3 linked regions of the Macaca mulatta genome follow. The protein of the gene in region 1 interacts with the protein of each later gene in a pairwise test. Links are inferred from orthologs where the notes say so. Each region holds a gene or a part of one and is shown in the gene's direction. Other genes may lie near its edges.

Region 1 (5,258 bases):
AATTTAGAGAACCTAGTTCAGTTATGCACAGTGATTTTTAAGGCTTAAACTTAATTTGTTTTTTACAGATATGTTATTGGCACTTTGGAGCTATTAGTAGCAGAAAACTACATGATAGTTTATTTAAATGGTGCAACAACTCGAAGAAAAATGCCCAGTCTGGGATGGCTCAGGAAATGTTATCAGCAAATTGATAGAAGGTAATACACATACAAGTTGAAAGCTAGTCTGATAAATTTTTATAATGGCTTTAGTAGATCAAACTTTGTTTTCTGTTGCCTTTTTTTTTTTTTTTTTTTTTGAGACGGAGTTTCACTCTTGTTGCCCAGGCTGGAGTGCAATGGCACCATCTTGGTTCACTGCAACCTCTGCCTGCCAGGTTCAAGCGATTCTCCTGCCTCAGCCTCCCAAGTAGCTGGGATTACAGACATGCACCACCACGCCCAGCTAATTTTGTATTTTTAGTAGAGATGGGGTTTCTCCATGTTGGTCAGGCTGGTCTCGAACGCCTGACCTCAGGTGATCCTCCTGCCTCGGCCTCCCAAAGTGCTGGGATTACAGGCATGAGCCACCACACCCGGCCTTCAGTTGCTATTTTAAAACACCATTTATTTTTTAAATTTTATTTATTAATTTCATGGCAGGTTTCTATTTTCTAAAGATAGCATTTTAGAATATTGTGAGGGAAATCAATTTTGATTTTTCTATAAAGAATAACCTTAATTCTTCTAACTTACAAAGTAGCTCTATATTTCTCCTTATTTATAAGGAGAAATTGAACACTTTCTCCTTATTTATAAGGTGCAATTTTCTCCCCATTGAACACTTTCCTACTATTTACATCTTGGGAAAGGATGGAGAATGTAGTGTGTTTCCTATTTTATTACATTCTGAGGTTTGCCTAATTTATAGTGCTTAGGATGTTTTATGTTTTTGTTTTTGTTTTGTTTTGAGACAGGGTCTCACTCTGTCACCTAGGCTGGAGTGCAGTAGTGCAATCTCTGCTCACTGTAGCGGCGACCTTCCAGGCTCAGGTGATTCTCCCACCTCAGCCTCCCAGGTAGCTGGGACTACAGGCTTGTGCCACCACACCCAGCTAATTTTTGTATTTTTTGTGGAGACAGTGTTTCCGCATGTTGCCCAGGCTGGTTCTCGAACTCCTGGACTAATGCGATCCACCTGCCTCGACCTCCCAAAGTGCTAGGATTACAGGCATGAGACACAGTGCTCAGTCTTTATGTTTCTTAATGATGCTTGTTTAGTTGTAAAAGTCTTTCTTTGGAACAAGCTTTTGAAGCATATTGTCTTGGGAGTTAGTCATTAGTACTTAATGGAAGGAATGTGATCTTCCAATTGGTTTGATCTTGCCATGGCTAATTTAAATCAAGTCTAAATTTGACATTGGCTAGCTCTTGTGATTATATATGTATCTCACTTTATGTGTGAAATATGCATAATACAATAAGTTTGTATTTAGTCATTTAAAAAGAAGAGCTCTAGGATAATACCTTTAATATTTAATCAAAACTTTAAATTCCTTGAGAATAGGAGTTAGATCTGATTTGTTTTTGTTCCTGTGGTCATCTTCTCCACTCACACTTCTCTGCCTGCACAGTGCTTTTCGTGATTTTGAAGAACTTAGCACCAAGTTCTCCCTAGTCTTGGAAAATGAGGATAGTTTACTTTTACATTCAGGATGGCCTCTTTCCCTGGTTGACAGAGTCCTGAAGACAAGTGAATGTGTATGCTAGGAGACATTTAATAACAGGCTATACTATGGACATAAATTTGGCCAAATAAAGTAAAGTTCATTTCATAGCAGTAGGAGGGACCATCAGAATTCAAGAATCCTTTTTCTTGTCTACAGGGGTATCATACCTAAATGAAAACTCCTGGGTGAGATTTTTCAACTATTATTTTGTATAAAGTTGCACATATTTATTGATGTCTTGACTTTTAGCATTAGAATTTATAGAGATTTTTAATTTTCTTTGTGTATGTGTGTTTTTTTGTTTTGTTTTGTTTTTTTATTAACTCCAGGTTACGGAAAAATCTAAAATCCCTAATCATTGTACATCCTTCTTGGTTTATCAGAACACTTCTGGCTGTTACAAGACCATTTATTAGGTAATTTTTGAGAGCCATTGACTTTAATTTTATTTTAACTTTTTTTTCATTTATTTTTAGTTAACACATAATAACTATACATATTTATGGGATACAGAGCTATATTTTGATATGTGTATACATTGTATAATGATCAAACCAGGGTGATTAGCACATACATCACCTCAGACATTTATCATCTTTTTGTGTTTTGAACATTCAAAATGACATGAGTTTTTTAAAAAAAATTCTTACATTTGTATATAAGAAATTTTTGTATCTTGTAAACATTGTATCCATTGTATTTGTCAGAAATATGGAGGTAATTATTTTTATTTTCTTCCATAGCTCAAAATTCAGCCAAAAAATTAGATACGTCTTTAATTTGGCAGAACTAGCAGAGCTTGTCCCCATGGAATATGTTGGCATACCAGAATGCATAAAACAGTATGTTTTGTTTTATTTCCTTAATTGTATTGGATCTTAATATTTTGATGTGCAACGGATAATACTTTTCAATACTCATTCTTTATGTATTTTATAACTGTGTGTCTCTGTGTGTGTGTGTGTGTGTGTGTGTGTGTGTGTGTGTGTGTGTGTGTAACAAAGAAAAAGAGGAAGAAGCCATTTCCCACACCGTCCCCATAAGTTAGCATTTTCTTCAGGCTGTCAATTGAAGAACTAGGATAAATTATTTCTGGTTGTGATTCATGTTACACTTTTTAGACTGGTTATAATCTAAGAGATGATTTTTCTAATTGATCAGTACTAAAGAACGTTCTCCAGACTTGAACATGGTGCTCAACAAATTTGAGTAAACTCATCATGAATATTATTATTGAATAATTATATTGCTAAATAAAAATATTTAAATCATTATAACCTTAATGTTTTCCAGTGACTGCAATTTTGTTCTGATTATCAGATTCACATTCTTCCATGTAACTTCTTGGACTTGATAGAAGGCTGTTAACATAAATACCTGAGTATTACAATGCATGTGGAAAAGTTTCTTTGTTCTGCTCACATGAGGTTTTACTCTATTTAATGTGTGAAAGTCAGATTTATTAAGTCAGTTTTTACTTTCTACATCATGTATTAAATATTTTTCGTTTTGCTGGAAAATGTAAATGGGTTTAAGTACCTTTTTTCAAGTTTTTATTCATTTTCATAACATGTATATTTACTGAAATAACTCTTCCCTACAAAGGTATGAAGAAGAAAAGTTTAAAAAGAAACAAAAAAGGTATATGCACACCTTGACTGGGTTGCATCTAGACTAGTCCATTTGCATTGCACACTAACTCTTCCTTATTGGTTGGTTAGCTTGTAGACAAAGATAATAGCATTTGTAAATATAAACGTACCCAACTTCCAAATATAGGGTGAACCCAGAGTTCCTAAGGCTGAATATGACTTGGATTCACCCTGTTTTATTGCCATATGTGATGCCAATTAAGACTTAAAGACCACGGACCCTTCTCTCTCCTTCTTAGTCCAAGTACTAATGGTGAAACCACAGAAATTACTAAAAATGGTATTTGGAACACCAAATAAAAGACTTCAGTTGTTTCACCATTTTCTTTAAATAGCTAACTTGTGCTTTTGAAATATTTTTGCAGACTTTTTAAAAGCTATCCATTTATTTCCCTGGGGTTGATTATTATATTTGCAATGCATATATTCTTTGGCTAACCAACATTAATTTCCTTTTATGCTTAAATTAAATGGCTTGCTAACCAGTCAAATTCTACATGTGATAAAATACCTAAAATCTCAGTGTCCCATTTAACAGTTAAACACTCTGCTTTCTATTTTAAATTTAATTTTGAACACTTCTGCTTTGAGCATAACAAACTATTATCTATTGATACCTTGACATAGATGGTGAAAGAAGGCAAGGGTATAAAATACTTACAATTTTATATAATAATTTAGAAAAATGTAGAATTTGGATCTAGTTTGTTAGATCTTTAAAATATTGGCAATTAAATTAGCAAAACATAGTTTAATGCAGTCTTAAGAGTTATGGTGAGAGATTTATATGTAATTATCTTGACTATTCTAAGGAGCCAACTGTAACTAACTGGAACATTCTTAACTTTGAACACATTTTGTTTCTGTTGATGAGTGAGAATTCAGTAGGCCTTATGATAGAATCAGTTTTACACTTCTATATGACACTTCACAGTTTAACCAACACTTTAACATAAATGTAGACAGTGATTTTAGATCATGCTGATTTCTCATTCCTTTCTAGGCATTACTGTGCATCCGACAGACACGTGACTGAAATTAAAAATATGATTTGTAATTGTAGAATATTTTGAAGCCAGCCGCTTCATAGATTTCACAGTGAATTGCCTTTGTTGATAAAATGTGCTGTATTAAGCCTTTTTTAAAAAAAGTTTTTAATACTGTAAAGTAATTTAGACATCAGAAAAAAATATGGAATTTGTACTTTAAATGTATTGTTTGAAACCGGTCACTATTTTATCTTGAGTTTTTTTTTACTTGTGTTTAACCATAAATACAATTATTACATGTATCTTTCAAAAACTTTGTGGTTTCTGTAGTTTTTTTAGTCTTAAAAAATAATAAATTTTTGTCAATCTGAAAAGGATAAAATTTAATTTTTAAATTAAATTTAGATAGGCATGTTTTGTTTTGAGACAGAGTTTTGCTCTTGTCACCCAGGTGGGAGTGCAATGGCCCAATCTCAGCTAACTGCAATCTCTGCCTCCTGGGTTCAAGCGATTCTCCTGCCTCAGCCTCCCAAGTAGCTGGGATTACAGCCTCCCACCACCACGCCTGACTAATTTTTGCATTTTTAGTAGAGACCAGGTTTCACTGTGTTGGCCAGGATGGTCTCGAACTCCTGATCTCAGGTGATCTGCCCACCTTGGCCTCCCAAAGTGCTGGGATTACAGGCGTCAGCCACAACACCCAGCCTAAACCAAACTTTACAGAGGCTAGGTACAAGGGAGCTTATTTAAGGTGACAACTCCATGATATGATAAGTACTGGTGCTAAGGAAAATATGAAACTATGAGTCCCTATGGCAGGTTTTTGGGGAGCAGGGGAAGAAGGGGTAAAACCATTTTCTTGAAGGGCTTGTGGGGAAGAAGGTTGAAGAAATGTTGATAACAGTG
Region 2 (5,258 bases), on another chromosome or scaffold:
TAAATCCGTGCCTGCCTTTTGAGAGAGTGAGGATGGCTCAAGGCAAGCCCTTCATGATTTCTGGAAGCAATACTGATGACTGGTCAATTGAGGTCACTTCTAGGAGTTTATTTCAAAAAAGCAACTGAACAAATAGACAAGAATTTATGTACAAAAATATATCATGATATCGTTTATAATAGCAAAAGTTTTAAACACTGTAAAAATGAATTTTTTAAAGTATGGCACATATTATATATCATGAAAATAATTGCATAAATCTATATTTAATAATGCAGAAAGTTCCCCCTAACAATCCCCTTAAACCCTCATCAAGACTACCTCAGGATTCTCTGAGGCCGTTACATATAGAAGGAGTAATTCCAAACAGATTAATAAGCATCTGGGCAAAGCATTAAGCCAAAGACAGAATGTAAACTGATGATTGTATTCAGAAAACTTAAGTGAACAAACATTTACTACGCACCTACAGTGCACCAAGACCATGCCCAGCACGGGGGAGACAAAGAGAATCCCTGGTCCCACTACTACAGCCCTTGCCCCAGAGAAAGGGAACGCCTCCGTGCACTGTTGGAGCCCCTCCCAACAGCGATGCCCAGGGTCATGGTATGTTACTGTTTCCTGTAATAAAATTGTGTGCTTTGAGTCAGGGTTGTTGGGAATAATGTGGAACTATTCTTGTTTTCTTCATACCTGAATAAATCAGAACTAAAAAGAATTCCTTTACTGATGTATATATTCAAATATTCAGTTGTCCAAATACTCATTGGACCCAAATGTGACACATAATCTCCCCCAAATCTAGGAAATGATCAACCAGTGATTTGCCCAATCCAAGCTGATCCAGAGAGTGGACTCTGCTACAACACTACAGACCTGACTTGAGATGGAGAGATAGGAATGGAAGGGAGACACCCTCTTTGTCTCTCGGACCTGCACGTCCAGTGACACACCCCTGATCTCATGCCTTGTGAGATCCACAATTTGAGTGTGGTCGTTCAGTCTAGCCACCCCCAAGAGAAACCCTCTCCCTTTCCCTGGGAGAACCTTGACCTTAGAGGCTGGCACTGCACCAGTCGAGGCCGCCCTGGCCCCTCCACCGCCTGAGCCCTCGGTCGACCAAATGCTCTCACAGAGCTGCCGTTAGCCATGCCAGGGCATCAGCAGAGAGAAGGGTGCTGGTTTCTATCTGGGTTCAAAGCCTGGCTATGCCATTTGTTAGAAAAGTCTCTTATTCCCTGTGATTCTCAGCTTTTTCATCTTCAGACAGAAACAAATAAAATAACTTAGTAACATTGGTACAAAGAATTAGCTGGATGAGATAGCTCACAACTTTAATCCCAGAACTTTGGGAGGCTGAGGCAGGAGAATCACTGGAGCCCAGGAGTTCAAGACCAGCCTGGGAAGCATAGTAAGACCCCATCTCTACAAAAAATTTTAAAAATTAGCCAAGCATTATAATCCTAGGTAGTCAGGAGGCAGAGGCAGGAGGATCGCTCTTGAGCCCAACAGTTCAAGACTGCCGTGGGTCATGATTGCACTACTGCACTGCAGCCTGGGCAACAGAGCAAGACTCTAGCTCTTAAAGAAAAAAAAAAAGTTTGGTACGAAGATTAAAATAATGTATGTCAGACATTTGATAAGACGTCAACACTCAATCAAGGAGTGTGACAGTCATCATCACTGCTACATTTTATTACTTTTGTGGATGGGCGTGCTAGCTAAAACTGCAGAACCTCTAATATTTTCTAACTGCCTCCGCTGTTTTTCTCCTCGGCCCTTAGCACTCTCTCCTACACCATGTGATAAATTATATTCATTGCTGTCTATACTGTTCCACTAGATGGAAGCTTCGTGAAGTAGGAACTTTTAGTCTATTTTATGCACTGCTGTATCTCTAAGATGCCTGGCATGTAAATAGGTTCTCAATAAATATGTCTTGAATTAATGAAAACAGTGGTTTCTGAATCATGGCCTCCAAAGAGCGTTTGCCTTTTCCCCTCTCGCCCTTCTGAAGGTGCCCAGGCTGCCCTGGCAGGATACCTTTTTCTCTGTGGGGTGGCATTCTCTGCTCTCTTTCTAATACTCTTTCTTTTTCTTTCCTCCTCTACCCCAACTGCAGGACGCCTTTGTGGAACTGTACGGCCCCAGCATGCGGCCTCTGTTTGATTTCTCCTGGCTGTCTCTGAAGACTCTGCTCAGTTTGGCCCTGGTGGGAGCTTGCATCACCCTGGGTGCCTATCTGGGCCACAAGTGAAGTCAACACGCCTGCCCCAAACAAATATGCAAAAGGTTCACTAAAGCAGTAGAAATGATATGCATTGTCAATGATGTACCATGAAACAAAGCTGCAGGCTGTTTAAGAAAAAATAACACACATATAAACATACACACACACAGACAGACACACACACACACACACACACACCAATTTTCAGGCAAAATGTCGAATCAGCTATTTACTGCCAAAGGGAAATATCGTTTATTTTTTACATTATTAAGAAAAAAAGATTTATTTATTTAAGACAGTCCCATCAAAACTCCTGTCTTTGGAAATCCGACCACTAATTGCCAAGCACCGCTTCGTGCGGCTCCACCTGGATGTGCTGTGCCTGTAAACACAGATTCGCTTTCTGTGTTGTTGGCCAGACTAACTCACCATTTGAAGAGCAGATGTATGGAAAAAGGACCTGATCGTTGGGGAAGCTGGCTTTCTGGCTGCTGGAGGCTGGGAAGAAGGTGCTCATTCACTTGTATGTCTTTGCCCTGGGGGCTGTGATATTAACAGAGGGAGGGTTCCTGGGGGGAAGTCCATGCCTCCCTGGTCTGAAGAAGAGACTCTTTGCATATGACTCACATGACGCATTCCTGGTGGGAGGAAAAGATTTGGGAACTTCAGATGGACCTGGTACCCACTGAGATTTCCACACCGAAGGACAGCGATGGGAAAAATGCCCTTAAATCATAGGAAAGTATTTTTTTAAGCTACCAATTGTGCCGAGAAGCATTTTAGCAATTTATACAGTATCATCCAGTACCTTAAGCCCTGATTGTGTATATTCTTATATTTTGGATACGCACCCCCCAAATCCCAATACTGGCTCTGTCTGAGTAGGAACATAATCCTCTGGAACTTGAGGAAGTAAACATTTCGGTGACTTCAGCATCAGGAAGGCTAGAGTTACCCAGAGCATCAGGCCGCCACAAGTGCCTGCTTTTAGGAGACCGAAGTCCGCAGAACCTGCCTGCATCCCAGCTTGGAGGCCTGGTCCTGAAACTGAGCCTGGGCCCTCACTGGCCTCCTCCAGGGATGATCAACAGGGCAGTGTCGTCTCCGAATGTCTGGAAGCTGACGGAGCTCAGAATTCCACTGTCAAGAAAGAGCAATAGAGGGGTGCGGCTGGGCCTGTCGCCCTGGGGCCCTCCAGATAGGCCCATTTTCACGTGGAGCATGGGAGCCACAACCCTTCTTAAGACATGTATCACTGTAGAGAGAAGGAACAGAGGCCCTGGGCCCTTCCTAGCAGAGGGACACGGTGAAGGCTGGGAACGTGAGGAGAGGCAACGGCCATGGCCCATTTTGGCCATAGCACATGGCACGTTGGCTGTGTGGCTGTGGCCCACCTGTGCAGTTTAAAGCAAGGCTTTAAATGACTTTGGAGAGGGTCTTAAATCCTAAAGGAAGCATTGAAGTAAGGTGTCATGGATTAATTGACCTATGTCTATGGAATTACATGTAAAACATTATCTTGTCACTGTAGTTTGGTTTTATTTGAAAACCTGACAGAAAAAAGAAAAGTTCCAGGTGTGGAATATGGGGATTATCTGTACATCCTGGGGCACTTAAAAACAATCAATGGTGGGAAACTATAAAGAAGTAACAAAAGAAGTGACATCTTCAGCAAATAAACTAGAAAGTGTTTGTTGTGTTTTTTTCTTCCAGTTTAGAATCAGCCTTGAGACATTGATGGAATAACTCTGTGGCATTATTGCATTATATATCATTTATCTGTATTAACTTTCGAATGTACTCTGTTCAGTGTTTAATGCTGTGGTTGATATTTCGAAAGCTGCTTTAAAAAAATACATGCATCTCAGCGTTTATTTTTTTTTTTTAATTGTATTTAGTTATGGCCTATACACTATTTGTGAGCAGAAGTGATCATTTTCTGTTTGGGATTTTTGTCTCTTGATTCTTCAAAAGCATTTCTGAGAAGGTGAGAAGCCCTGAGTCTCAGCTACCTAAGAAAAACCTGGATGTCACTGGCCACTGAGGAGCATTGTTTCAACCAAGTCATGTGCATTTCCATGTCAACAGAATTGTTTTTTGTGACAGATATATCTGTTGTCCCTTTGACCTTGTTTCTTGAAGGTTTATTCATCCCTGGGCAATTCCGCATTTAATTCATGTTATTCAGGATTACATGCATGTTTGGTTAAACCCCTGAGATTCATTCAGTTAAAAATCCAGATGGGGAATGACCAGCGGATTAAAATCTATGGTGGTTTGACCTTTAGAGAGTTGCTTTACGTGGCCTGTTTCAACACAGACCCACCCAGAGCCCTGCCCTCCTTCCGTGGGGGCTTTCTTGTGGCTGTCCTTCAGGGTCTTCCTGAAATGCAGTGGTGCTTACGCTCCACCAAGAAAGCAGGAAACCTGTGGTATGAAGCCAGACCTCCCCGGCGGGCCTCAGGGAACAGAATGATCAGACCTTTGAATGATTCTAATTTTTAAGCAAAATATTATTTTATGAAAGGTTTACATTGTCAAAGTGATGAATATGGAATATCCAATCCTGTGCTGCTATCCTGCCAAAACCATTTTAATGGAGTCAGTTTGCAGTATGCTCCACGTGGTAAGATCCTCCAAGCTGCTTTAGAAGTAACAATGAAGAATATGGACGTTTTTAATATAAAGCCTGTTTTTTTTTTTTTTTTGTCTTTTATTGTTGTTCAAATGGGATTCACAGAGTATTTGAAAAATGTATATATATTAAGAGGTCATGGGGGTTAATTGCTGGCTGGCTGCCTTTTGCTGTGGAGTTTTGTGACCTGGTTTAACAGTAAATGTAGCCAGCCGCCTGGCCCCAGAACTGTACAGTATTGTGGCTGCACTTGCTCTAAGAGTAGTTGATGTTGCATTTTCCTTATTGTTAAAAACATGTTAGAAGCAATGAATGTATATAAAAGCCTCAACTAGTCATTTTTTTCTCCTTTTTTTTTTTTTTTTCATTATATCTAATTATTTTGCAGTCGGG
Region 3 (5,258 bases), on another chromosome or scaffold:
TTTTTTAGCTTCCACATATAAGTCAGAACATGCAGTATTTGCCTCCATGTCTGGTTTATTTCATTAGCACAAAGTCCTTCACATTCATTCATGTTGTCACATATGACAAGATTTCCTTCTTCTCCTTCATCTTTGAGGCTGAATAGAATTCCAATGTGTATATATACCATATTTTCTTGTCCATTCATCAATTGATGAACACTTAGATTGATTCCATAACTTGACTATTGTGAATAGTGCTGCAATAAACATAGGAGTTCAATATCTCTCAGGCTTCCTGATTTCAAATCTTTTGGATACATACCCTGGAGTAGAATTCCTGGATCTTATTTCTAACATTCTTAGTACAGTGCCTGGCACATAGAAAGCTTACCAAACAGATATTTACTTTTACCAGTAATGACTAGGAATGTCTTATCACCGCAGTCATTGTTACTGTTATAAAAACTGCTCAATAAACTATTATGAACACCACTCATCTTGGTGTACAGGAACAGCCAGAGACGGGAATAAGCTGGAGGAAGTGAGATCAGTTAGGAGGCTTCTGGAATAATTTAGGAAAGAATATTCTGTTTTCTGTCTGGTGCCCAGCTGTCACTCAGAAGGAGCTTAAAAAAAAGTTTGTGGAATAAATGAAAAGGAAGACTGAGCAGAATTCAGTGATTGATTAGCTCAAAGAAACCAGGGAGCAAATAAAAGATGACTGCAAGACTTTGAGATTGGGTGACTGGAGGATTCTAGTACTATCGACACAAAGAAATCCTCTCTCTTTCCACCCCTTGGCTCTGCGTTCTCAGGCCATTGCTCACCTGACATCTTCAGATGGTTGGCCGCTTTTTGAATTTCACTCACTTGCTCAATGACTGTGGTGTGCAGGTCTGCTGCTTTGTCTTTTTCCAGAATGCCTTGTCATAACTATAGCAAAGACATGTCTGAATTTAGAACCCCCACAATTCAAAAATCTAAAACCCCACTTACAAATTGGGTTTCAATACATCTCTCAGGTTGCTTCTAAATCTTTTTTTTTTTTTTTTTTCATTTTTAGATCGTGTAGATGTCTCAGGAAAGACTTCAGCAATGTGTGCCTCTGTCAGGGGCACTAATAAAATCCTATGCTTTTACATCCATTATTGTATTTGGAACAAAATGTCCTTTATGGTCATTTGATATTATATATTTTCTGTTTTGTATATAATATAAAATTACATATACATTCTATTTTAGGTCTCATCTCATTAAAAAACAAAACAACAACAGCAACAACAAAAACTTGGCTCAGCTTTTGGCTTTTCTACTTCTGTCAACTTGTTATTTGTACTCTGACTCCAAAGACGATTGGAGAAACTTGGGAGCATAACACAAGATTTTATTTTTACCAATTGATCTGTCCAGTGCTATGGACTGATTTTTGCACAAAGTAGTAGCAGGTTGGGCTGATGCCATGGTTCTCTGATTTTCTTTCTTTCTTTATTTTTCTTGAGTTTGATTATTCTGATTACTAAATGCCTTGCAATTTGACAAAGAACAGAAGTTATGAGCTCGTACTAGGAATAGGTTAGCCAGGTTCAAGGATCTCACAACATTTAGAAAGATTGTTTTTAAGGAAGAAATTAAAAAAAAAGTCTTATAGGGAAATCAGTGACATCATAAACAAGTTTGCAATGCTGTCTACTAGTATAAATGACTGCCAGACTCATTGCCCAGCTGTTTTTGTGATCCAGGGCACATATTTGCGAGACAGCTGCCCTGAACTAGGGAAGGTCAAGCAAAACCCACTGCCTGTCTAGAGATGGCTGTCCTGATGTCAGTCTCATTAGTTCCTGAGTTCTTGCCAAGGAAATTAGCAAGAACTAGTATAGATCTGGAAGTCAAAGTTTAGCAGAAAGAGCCCCCACAGCAGTGCGCAAAGAGCACTCTGCCCTACTCTTTTTTTCTCTACTGGTCACCTAGTTGGTGTGGGGTGTGTGTGTGTGTGTGTGTGTGTGTGTGTGTGTTTCCAAAATAGTACTTGAAGGATAGGAAATTAAATGTCTGTGGGAAAAAGCAACGTTTTGGGTTCTCAGCATTTTAGTCAGCTGCTTTCTTACTTTTCCAGACTGTGACTTTTCTTTGAAGCTATTAAAATCTATTCTTGGTAATGAGAAAAGGGAGTGACTTGATGGTTCTTTTCCAATTGCTCTGTGTCTAACAAGAAATACCTAAATAATTTGCCGTTTTAAATTTCCCCTAGTGGTGGCAAAACAATTCTACTCCTATTTGTGGGGGAAAAAAATCTCTGCCGTGAATGTCAGTGTTGGGAACATAGCGAGACAAAAAGCTACCTGGGCTAGCCTGTTTCTCCAGGATGAAACAAAAGGAATATAGATTTTAGTGGCTGCTTTAACAGTTTGGTAAAGGATCTGGTCTATCTTGGGTGTGGGAGATGGGAGGGGTAAAGAAGTCAGAATCCCATTTAGATCACAGAAAGAAACCAGGAAGTAAGGGGAAATTATTACAGTCTGTTCATAGCTCAGAATGTTAAAGGCAACAACCTCTGCTGGTTGGTTATTCATTAGCAAAAAGGAGAGAGCCGTCCAGATCCAGACTGGTCCAAAGACAGGAGCAGACTTGAAACAGGGGGAGAGCTCCTGGCGAAAGCAAGGTGTGTAGGTTTTGCCAGGGGTTAGTAGCTTCCTCTTGCTAACTTTTTATTGGGACAAAAGGCAAGATGGCACCATTCTGTTCTCAGATATTTGTCTAAATAAAGCCCTTTTAATTTTATTTTATTTTTGTTGTGCGATTCTTAAGCAGATACGAAGAAAAGATACCTTCCTACTGAGCAGCTGCCCAGCTCCTGCTCCGTTTTGCTTGGGGGTAGCAGCTCCGGCCACAGAAAGCAAGCCGGTAAGTCTCTCCAGGTAGGACTTGCTGCAACCAGCTGCTGGACTGATTTGAAATGGGACTTTGCATACTCTCCAAAGTATGGTGAGTTGGTGCTGACTTCAAAGGTGCCTGGTGAAGGAAGAGAAGGTGGATCGCAGAGACTAAGGGGAGAGGGAGAAGCCCTGCTCCTCTTCTCCCCACCAAGGCACAATGAGCAACATCTGTCAGAGGCTCTGGGAGTATCTAGAACCCTATCTCCCCTGCTTGTCGACGGAAGCAGACAAGTCAACGGTGATTGAAAATCCAGGGGCCCATTGCTCTCCCCAGTCACAGAGGCATGGCCGCTACTTTGTGGCTTTGTTTGATTACCAGGCTCGGACTGCTGAGGATCTGAGCTTCCGGGCAGGTGACAAACTTCAAGTTCTGGACACTTCACATGAGGGCTGGTGGTTTGCCAGACACTTGGAGAAAAGGCGAGATGGCTCCAGTCAGCAACTACAGGGCTATATTCCTTCTAACTACGTGGCTGAGGACAGAAGCCTACAGGCAGAGCCGTGAGTAGTACAAACTTCTATTTAATTTCTGAACTGTCTGAGGGCTGGGTAATGAGTTTTCCTTTCTACTTCTCTACAACCCCCTAATGCCCAAAGAGTATGAGGAAAGTATGAGGAAGTACTGGCAAGAAACCACTAATTGAAACACACCTCCCCCGCTGAGTGAGAGTGAAACTGGCGGGTAATTGTTGTTGAGATGACTTTTTTACAGTATGTACACCCACAGGCCCAGGGTGTATTTTCAACATTAAACAAATGATGTGTTTAATACTCTACCTTCTTTTTGGCTGTGAAATAACTCGTGCCTCACTTTAACAACAAAATTGCATTTTGTTTGAAGGTATATTATAGGACTTCCCTTAATGATGCTCTCAAATCTAAACTTCAGATTCTTTTTTTAAAAAAACTTTTGAAACATTCCAGGGTTATATATATCAACTCTAGCCCTAGCTCTCATCCTAATCCCTTTCATTCTGATGGGAATACACAGGGCTAACGTAGAAGATAACACTTAGAAGATACTAATGTTCTCAGTGAAATCATGATATAGACTTTTTAAAAAAAATTCCCAGGTCCTGAGATATGCTACCCAAATGATGATATCTTTTTGTTTTTATTATAATTAGAAACTGGCCAGCTACAGACATTTACTAAGTTTTGATAGGAAAAATGACAACATCTCCTTAGAAGAAGAGATTGAGACTTTATCATGGTATTTGAATGAAATATGAATTATAGTGGAACAAAAGAGGAAAGTTTTTACGTACTTTATTCACTCATCCATCTATCCATCCATCCATCCATCCATCCATCCATCCATCCATCCACGCATCCATCCATCCACCTACCACCCCTCTAAGTGCCAGGCATAGACAGTAGTGGACTGAGTCGGGGAGGGTAAAGGAGGTTATTCTAGTGGTGACTGAACACAAAGTGAATAAAGCATAGTCTTGACAATGTATACTTGGGGTCTGGTGGGTTGGGAAGCAAATGGAGACTCTTATTGGTCCTGATCTCATTGCCGCCTGGATCCAGTGAAACCTTAGGCTGGGAATGTCTCTCAGAAGATGGACTCATTTTATAGAATGGTTTCTTAATAGGGAAACCATTGGAGATTCTCTTATGTAAGTGTTTCTTATTTTTATGTGACAATCCCTTACTGGTCCAGGGAATAAAATAATAATAAATAGCCATAGAGCATTGTTGCTACTTTCCAAACTCATGCGTCACATATGAAGAGAGGTTGGATGATTTTTGATTTTTGAGATTCTTTTCAACACCAAGAGCCTATAAATGTTTAGAAGGGTCTTAATTTATGCTTAAATAGAAAGGAATTAAATATACTTTTGATGAATGGAATTGATCTGTTATCAAGTGGGAAAATCACCTGTGTGAACATTTGCTTTCTGTTATAATCTACAGGAAATATCTTTATACATTGGATACACTTATGTGCATTTATGTGTTTTCACTACTATATGATTTCTATGTCCTATATGGCATTATGCATATTTTATATTTGGCATAACATGTATAGAATAATAATAATATATTAATGTTTCATGCCTTGAATTCATAATCTGTTAGTTTTAAATATATTCAACTCATATAACTACTTAGGACCTCAATTTCCTCATCTGCAACTCTCTGGGGTTGCCAAGACCAATGGATTTCCTGACTATCTGGAAACAGGAGCTCTTATGTTCATATGTAGTGGTTCAGTTACATTCATGCTTGACTGTATTAGAAATGCTGAGGAAAGCAAGTTGACTGAAACAAGTCAAGCAATCTGAAGGTATCATATTCTGGGTAAAAGGCTTAAGAGCAGTGTTCTTATTAATT

The links.
Region 2: the proteins of BNIP2 (region 1) and BCL2 interact in a two-hybrid assay, tested with the Homo sapiens proteins (3 studies listed by BioGRID and IntAct). The link is inferred for Macaca mulatta from reciprocal best matches to the Homo sapiens genes BNIP2 and BCL2.
Region 3: the proteins of BNIP2 (region 1) and FRK interact in binary tests that used the Homo sapiens proteins (3 or more experiments, as listed by UniProt). The two-hybrid records come from large-scale screens. The link is inferred for Macaca mulatta from reciprocal best matches to the Homo sapiens genes BNIP2 and FRK.

What each region holds. Positions count from the first base shown.
Region 1 is NC_133412.1:36,989,433-36,994,690, reverse strand, and holds part of BNIP2 (BCL2/adenovirus E1B 19 kDa protein-interacting protein 2), read left to right. Parts: intron 1-68; coding exon 69-200; intron 201-2,040; coding exon 2,041-2,127; intron 2,128-2,454; coding exon 2,455-2,553; intron 2,554-3,316; coding exon 3,317-3,352; intron 3,353-5,258.
Region 2 is NC_133423.1:17,763,503-17,768,760, forward strand, and holds part of BCL2 (apoptosis regulator Bcl-2), read left to right. Parts: intron 1-2,122; coding exon 2,123-2,257; 3' UTR 2,258-5,258. UniProt on the Homo sapiens protein: Suppresses apoptosis in a variety of cell systems including factor-dependent lymphohematopoietic and neural cells. Regulates cell death by controlling the mitochondrial membrane permeability. Appears to function in a feedback loop system with caspases.
Region 3 is NC_133409.1:21,104,251-21,109,508, reverse strand, and holds part of FRK (tyrosine-protein kinase FRK), read left to right. Parts: intron 1-2,472; exon of another isoform or gene 2,473-2,641; intron 2,642-2,787; exon of another isoform or gene 2,788-2,790; 5' UTR 2,791-3,072; coding exon 3,073-3,416; intron 3,417-5,258. UniProt on the Homo sapiens protein: Non-receptor tyrosine-protein kinase that negatively regulates cell proliferation.